2 linked regions of the Stegostoma tigrinum genome follow. The protein of the gene in region 2 purifies or fractionates together with the protein of the main gene of each other region. This does not show direct contact. Links are inferred from orthologs where the notes say so. Each region holds a gene or a part of one and is shown on either strand. Other genes may lie near its edges.

Region 1 (3,752 bases), on a different chromosome or scaffold from region 2:
GAATGTCATCTTGGGGCCTGGGATGGGGGTGAGGGACGAGGTGTGGGGGCAAGTGTAGCATTTCCTGCGGTTGCAGGGGAAGGTGCCGGGTGTGGTGGAGTTGGAGGGCAGTGTGGAGCGAACAAGGGAGTCACGGAGAGAGTGGTCTCTCCGGAAAGCAGACAGGGGTGGGGATGGAAAAATGTCTTGGGTGGTGGGGTCGGATTGTAGATGGCAGAAGTGTCGGAGGATGATGCGTTGTATCCGGAGGTTGGTGGGGTGGTGTGTAAGAATGAGGGGGATCCTCTTTGGGCAGTTGTGGCAGGGGCGGGGTGTGAGGGATGTGTTGCGGGAAATGCGGGAGACGCGGTCAAGGGCGTTCTCGACCACTGTGGGGGGAAAGTTGCGGTCCTTGAAGAACTTGGACATCTGGGATGTGTGGGAGTGGAATGCCTCATCGTGGGAGCTGATGCGGCGGAGGCGGAGGAATTGGGAATAGGGGATGGAATTTTTGCAGGAGAGTGGGTGGGAGAAGGTGTATTCTAGGTAGCTGTGGGAGTCGGTGGGCTTGAAATGGACATCAGTTACAAGCTGGTTGCCTGAGATGGAGACTGAGAGGTCCAGGAAGGTGAGGGATGTGCTGGAGATGGCCCAGGTGAACTGAAGGTTGGGGTGGAAGGTGTTGGTGAAGTGGATGAACTGTTCGAGCTCCTCTGGGGAGCAAGAGGCGGCGCCGATACAGTCATCAATGTACCGGAGGAAGAGGTGGGGTTTGGGGCCTGTGTAGGTGCAGAAGAGGGACCGTTCCACGTAACCTACAAAGAGGCAGGCATAGCTGGGGCCCATGCGGGTGCCCATGGCCACCCCCTTAGTCTGTAGGAAGTGGGAGGAGTCAAAAGAGAAGTTGTTGAGTGTGAGGACGAGTTCGGCTAGACGGATGAGGGTGTCGGTGGAGGGGGACTGGTCGGGCCTGCGGGACAGGAAGAAGCGGAGGGCCTTGAGGCCATCTCCATGCGGAATACAGGTGTATAGGGACTGGACGTCCATGGTGAAGATGAGGTGTTGGGGGCCAGGGAATTGGAAGTCCTGGAGGAGGTGGAGGGCATGGGTGGTGTCATGGATGTAGGTGGGGAGTTCCTGGACCAAAGGGGAGAAAATGGAGTCCAGATAGGTGGAGATGAGTTCGGTGGGGCAGGAGCAGGCTGAGACGATGGGTCGACCAGGGCAGGCAGGTTTGTGGATTTTGGGAAGGAGATAGAAACGGGCAGTGCGGTGTTCTGTGGCCTTTATCTCCACGGACTGTGACCTGTTGATACCTTTCGGCTTTTTGTTTTGATTTAGATTAGTAGTCATGGAGATTTCTTTTAAACAAGCAGCCCCAGGTTGACAGTAAATTCATGGTCCTCCAGGCTTTCTCACTGGGACTGAGCCTGCAAAGAAACACGGTGATGGCGCATGCCGACGGTTACCATGGCTACCAGACGCCCTACCGCGTTGCACTACGGGAAGAGGACGCATTGCTGCGCGTGCGCATTTGGTCAGCGCGGCCACACTTGGGGAAGCTAGAGGCTGAAGGAAATAAAGAGAAAGATGAAGGTGAGAGAGGAAGTGCAGGTGGAGGCTGCTCCGGTATCATCAAGTCTTCGGGTTGAGGAGAGAGAGATGTATTCGCGTTAACAATTTTCGGTTTTGTTACTTAGCGCCGCTGTTGTCGATGGCTTGTGATAACACCGCAATTTGCAAAGGCCTCAGCTCTACTTTGACGGTTACTATGGAAACGGAGTTGGTGGTACAATGGATTGTAGTCCCTGAACCCTCATGACCCAGAAAATATTCCCCCGAGACGTGGGGATATTCTGTCTCCTAGAAAGTATTGTAATTGTACTCTCACTGTGTTCACCACAGATCCATTAATACCAGCTTCCGCTGGATACTGCAAAGGCTGTGGGCCCTGAGAACATTCTGACAATAGTACTTGTGCTCCAGAACTTGCTGTTTGCGTAGCCAAGCAGGTTCAGTTAAGTTACAATGCTGGCACTTGCCTGTCAATGTGAAAAATTGCCCAAGTATGTCTTGTACACCAAAAGCAGGATAAATCCAACCGGGCTAATTGCCTCCCCATTAGTCTACTCTTGATCATGTGGTAAGTGACGGAAGGTAACATTAACAATGTAATCAACCAGCACTTACTTGTCGACCATTTGCTCAGTGATGTCCAATTTGACTTCAAACATGGACAAAACAACTGAATTTCAGGAGTGAAAGTGACAGCCCATGAAATCGAGGCCATGTTTGATAGAGTGTGGTATCAGGAAGCCCTACTAAAATTCAAATCACTGGGAATTAGGAGAAAACTCTCTGTTAATTTGATGCATTCCTTGAACATAGGAAGATGGTCGTGATTGTCAGAGATCAGTCATCTCCGCTCCTGGAAATCTCTGCTGGAGTTCCTCAGTGGTTCCTAGGCCCAACAATCTTTAGCTGCTTCATCGAAAACCTTCCCTCCTCCATCAGGTCAGATGTGGGGATGTTCACCAGTACTTGCACAGTGGCCAGCACCATCATGACTCCTCGGATACTGAAACAGTCCCTGTCCAAATGCATCAAGACCTAGACAGCATTCAGGTTTGGGCAGAAAAAGTGGCAAGTAACATTCATGCCATCACTTGACATTCAATGGAGTCGCCATCACTGATTCCCTCATCCTAGCAGTTACTGTTGACCAGAAACTCAACTGGGCATACCATTATAATTACAGTGGCTACAAGAGCAGGCTGGAGTCTTGGAATACTGCACTAAGTTACTCACCAACTGACTTCTCAAAAATCTTTCCGCCATCTACAAGGCACAAGTCAGGAATGTGACAATACTTCCCACTTGCCTGAATTAGTGTAAATCAAACAACGCAAAAGGTTGACACTATCCATGATAAAACAGCCTGAATGATTGGCACTAAGTCCAGAAACACCTGCTCGATCCACCACCAAAGCTCCGGAGCAGCCATAGAGCATGTTTTGCTAAACATCCTAAGATCACACCTTCCATGGCCACTTTAATCTAGCAGCGTCTAGAGAAAGCAGAGATAACATTTTGGGTCCGGTCACCCTTCCTCAGAACTGATGGTAGCTCAGAAAATGTTGGTATTAATGCAGAAGATGGGATGGGGGGAAGGGAGTAAGGAGTAAATGATAGGTGAGGATAGAGCCCAAAGAGAGAGAAGACAGTTGGACAGACAAAAGAGTAGATAAGGATTTGGCTAGGAGAGTGAATAGCTGTTAATGGAGACTGTTGGTGGCTAACAATGGGTTGTGTGTAATAGCAGACTATGCAGTCACAAGGCCTGGTGCTTTGGTGTGGGGACTAGGACATAGGAGTGTTCAAGACCTACAGTTATTAAACTCGATATTGAGTAGGGCAGGGACCCCAAGCAGAAAATGAATTGTTGTTCATCCAGCTTATGCTGAGCGTTGCTGGAGCACTGCAGCAAGCCTAAGACAGAGATATTGGCCAGGGTACAGGATGATGTGTAGATGTGGCGGGCAACAACTTCTTTCCTCCCCTGTCCCATTCCAACCTATTTTCCCCTGAACTGACTGCATTCTATGTGCTCAGATCCAATCTTGACTTTATTAGCGTGATGCTGTTGTAGTCTGGAGTTCTGGCATTTATGTTGCAGAGGCTGATGCCAGCACTCACATATCTCCTCCTATCACCCACTGGACCATGGCCCCACCGTGGAATATCCAGCCGTTGGATCAACTACAGTCCTCATT
Region 2 (3,752 bases):
GAAGTTGCTCACTCTGATAGATTAGTCACGAACTGGGTTCCGAGGAAGGGTCACCAGACCCAAAATGTTAACTCTGTTTTCTCCTTCACAGATGCTGCCAGGCCTGCTGAGCTTTTGGAGCAACTTTGTTTTTGTTCTCATCACTTATACCATCACCAGAAGCTCATGAAGTTCTATTCAAGTACACATTTGCCCATACTGCAGCTGCTGCCCTACCTCATCAGTATCTCTGCAATTCGGAATCCAATGCCAGATCCTCCTCCTGTGATGAATGCCACTTTGTCCCTATTCAGAGATGTAAGAGGTTAACACTAATAATTATTTATTACTTTATTAAAAGCAGTAAGTACAATTACACCTCCCATCACAGCAGTCGCGTGCCCCTCCTAATGTAATCAAAGCGTACGAAAAATACTGTTCCAAAGAACATTTGCAAGCAAAAGGGATCCTTTAAACATAACTCACTGTCACTCACCGCAGATTACACATTGAAAATATAACACGGCTTACTTCAGTATCTGAGGAAACAAGGTGTGGAGCTGGATGAACACGGCAAGCCCAGCAGCATCAGAGGAACACGAAGGCTGACGTTTCGGGTCTAGGCCCGAAACGTCAGCCTTCGTGCTCCACTGACGCTTCTTGGCCTGTTGTGTTCATCCAGGTCTGCACCTTGTTATCTCAGAATCTGCAGTTCCTACCATCTCTTACTTCAGTATGTCATGGCTGAATATATACGAATAGTTCAACAAACAATCATCAGTATCCACTTCCTGAGGACTGTTGCCCATGACAGACGTGATTATTTCTTAGGAATCAGTTTTAATCTTCGTTCTGCCTTATTTTGGGGAAGGAAGTGAAGCTCCTACACGGACTCCAAAAAACAGAGTTTTCACAAACTCTAGAGATAATTTCTGGAGGGAGTTCCTAAAACAGGTCCAGATGAACTCTGACCCAGACTCCTTTTCAGGGCCCTGGTCACAGAGTCAAAATACCGCCTAAAACTCCCCCGTCCCCCGGCCACAGCCCCCAATTAGTACTGAGCATGCGCCTCCTTCAGGCAGCTCTCAGGCAAAACTACATTTCCCACAATGCCATTTAATCGGATCAACCCTCGTGTATTTTCGATATGATCGGCATTTTTCGGCATGTAAGTGTCGCTTCCGCTCTCGCCGGTTGTTACGGCAACTGCAGGTACGCTAAAGCGATCTTGAATCGGAGCTAACACCAGGAAAAACGTGCAAGAGGACGGCCAGCACCCGTTGTTCTGCAGGTAACGCCGCTTTCAGTCACCCACGGATCGAGGGGAGGCACCAGTTTTTTTCAAGTGGATAATGCGGAGTTGTAGTTGCAGATAGGCCGCAGCCTGGAGGCACAGTACTAGCTTAGTCGCGTTATGTGTCAGTTGGATTGGCAAATTTCAACATCAGGGCGGGATATTCGGGATCATCAATCGGCGCATTCAGAAAAATCTCAGGTACCAACACTGCAAACAGGTAGCACCCGGAACACAACACCCCCTTCCAATTTATTACTAAAGCAAATCACACAGCTGTACCCACAGAAGAATAAAAACAGACTTCAGGTTGATGACCTAACAACAGCACTGGGAAAGGTTATAAACGTAATAAAGTTTGAGCGAGAGTTGCTGGGACCCTCCGTACCATTGAAACACTTCAAAACGCCTAGCCCATCACTAAAACACCCTACCACTAAATCATCTGCAAATCCATCACAAAAATATGGCAACATGTGCTCTGCCTTGAGCCCCATCATTAAAGCTCAATAGTAACATGTCCCCACCAGCCTGAGCGATCCAATCTGACCAAGATGATTGTTGGAAGAGCCTTAGTCCCAAAACTTTGCTAGTCGAGGCCTGGACTGGTCACAAGGAAGATTGTTGCCAGTGTGATTCTACACTCTTTAAATTTTGCTATAGATAGTTGGAGCTGTAACTGGTTCCTCAGTGTAATTGTCAAGAAGGGAACAGGGATTATCAAAATACTGCAAGCTATTTTTTAATTGAGTTAAGCTGACAATTTTTAATCTATTGTTGATCAGGCTTTTATTGAAATTGCATTGTCTTCTGACAGAAGCTTACCTTACTGTGTTGAGATGGCAGTTTACTTTGATCATCGTATTGAAGCGCCTGAGAATATCGGTTCTCCATCACAGATTGCTTGGCATCATATCCACCCATTATTGGCAGTGGCCTCTGTAAGCACCAGTTGCATTCCAGGAGGCAGTGTTGATGTGTATCTTGAGCAGGTGGGTATCTTGGAATTTTCTCTCCTGTCTTGGAGACCTGGTCGGTCACCTTTGCTTTGGTTTGTTTGTCATTAGTTACACTGAGACATATCACTGACAGCATCAGTAATGAATGTCAGCAAGTTACTGATTGAATCAGCAGAAGACATGTAACTGTGTAGTTCTAGCAGATGTCACTGGAGTAGAAATTCTAGAGGATTTTTCATGTTTGTACAATCATACTGTTGCTTCTGCACAGAAAGAGAACGTATAATGTTCATGTCACCGCTCCGCAGAAGAAGTTCAATTAGTCTCAAACCCAACACTTTCCCTGTAGTTCTGCAAGTTAGGCAGCATCTGTGATGAATAAAAACAGATTTCAGTTCGATGACCTAACAACAGATCTGGGAAAGGTTATAAATGTAATAAAATTTCAGCAAGAGTTGCTGGGACCCACCCTACAAATGAAACACTAAAAACAAACCCTAGCCCCCCATCACTAAAATACCCTACCACTAAATCATCTGCAAATCCATCACATAAAATATGGCAATACATTCCCTACCCCCAGCCCCATCATTAAAGTTCAATATTAACATGTCCCCACCATCACAAACCAGAATGACATCCCCACTTTCCAGCCTGCAGCAATCCAATCCGACCAAGATGACAATTGGAAGAGTCTTACTACCGAAACTTAGCTCGTCGAGGTCTGGAACTGGTCACAAAGACGATTGTTGCCAGTGTAATTCTACACTTTTTAACAACTGCTGTAGATATTGGAGCTGTAACTGGTTCCGCATTGTAATTGTCAATAAGGTGTAGTTCTACAATTTTTTTCTCTTCACGTGCTAATCCAATTCTCTTTTGAAAGCAACGTTTGACTCTGCCTCCACCGCACTCAAGCAGTATATACCAGATTCTAACTACATGCTTTGTAATAAATATTTATATTTATGATATGCTTGGCTACTTTCCCAGTCACTGAAATTTGTGTGTCTTCTAGTTTTTGACCCTTCCACCACTGGGAGCTGTTTCGTCCTATTTTTCTATTGGGAGAAAAACACTGTAGTTATTTGGATGACTGCAGTTGAAGGCAGTGGGAGTGGTGAGCGTGAAGAGAAGCCTGTGCCTAATGTAGGCATGTTGTAATGTTTCAGTCCTTCATGAAATACTGTAATGAATTAAACTGCAAAATATGACCATTATCATCTGTATTATAATATTACTCTAACTGACTCTGGTCTCTAAAATCTAAAATTAACCTGACCTACAGGACCAGAACCATTGGATATGAGTACTATATTAAATTAAAGTAAATATTTGCACCTTTTCCCCTCCTCCCACTCCCTACTCAACTCCCTGCCCCACCAATGCAGTTCTTTAGAAATTCATTTTTGCTTGGTTTATTGATTATGTATTATTGTCCAAAATGAAGCACAACTCTAAATATATATTCCAGGCCTGCCCCTTTTGCACACCAACATGACTGATTCTACAGGTGGCAC

What was found.
Region 1: the proteins of ift140 (region 2) and wdr19 purify together in Homo sapiens (co-immunoprecipitation; 3 studies listed by BioGRID and IntAct, with this or other methods). This does not show direct contact. The link is inferred for Stegostoma tigrinum from reciprocal best matches to the Homo sapiens genes IFT140 and WDR19.

The regions. Positions count from the first base shown.
Region 1 is NC_081354.1:98,069,024-98,072,775, forward strand, and holds the start of wdr19 (WD repeat-containing protein 19), read left to right. Parts: upstream 1-1,493; 5' UTR 1,494-1,569; coding exon 1,570-1,575; intron 1,576-3,752. UniProt on the Homo sapiens protein: As component of the IFT complex A (IFT-A), a complex required for retrograde ciliary transport and entry into cilia of G protein-coupled receptors (GPCRs), it is involved in cilia function and/or assembly.
Region 2 is NC_081376.1:31,776,182-31,779,933, forward strand, and holds the start of ift140 (intraflagellar transport protein 140 homolog), read left to right. Parts: upstream 1-1,101; 5' UTR 1,102-1,270; intron 1,271-2,090; 5' UTR 2,091-2,112; coding exon 2,113-2,265; intron 2,266-3,752. Other genes in the region: decr2 (peroxisomal 2,4-dienoyl-CoA reductase [(3E)-enoyl-CoA-producing]), read right to left, coding at 217-285, 709-788. UniProt on the Homo sapiens protein: Component of the IFT complex A (IFT-A), a complex required for retrograde ciliary transport and entry into cilia of G protein-coupled receptors (GPCRs).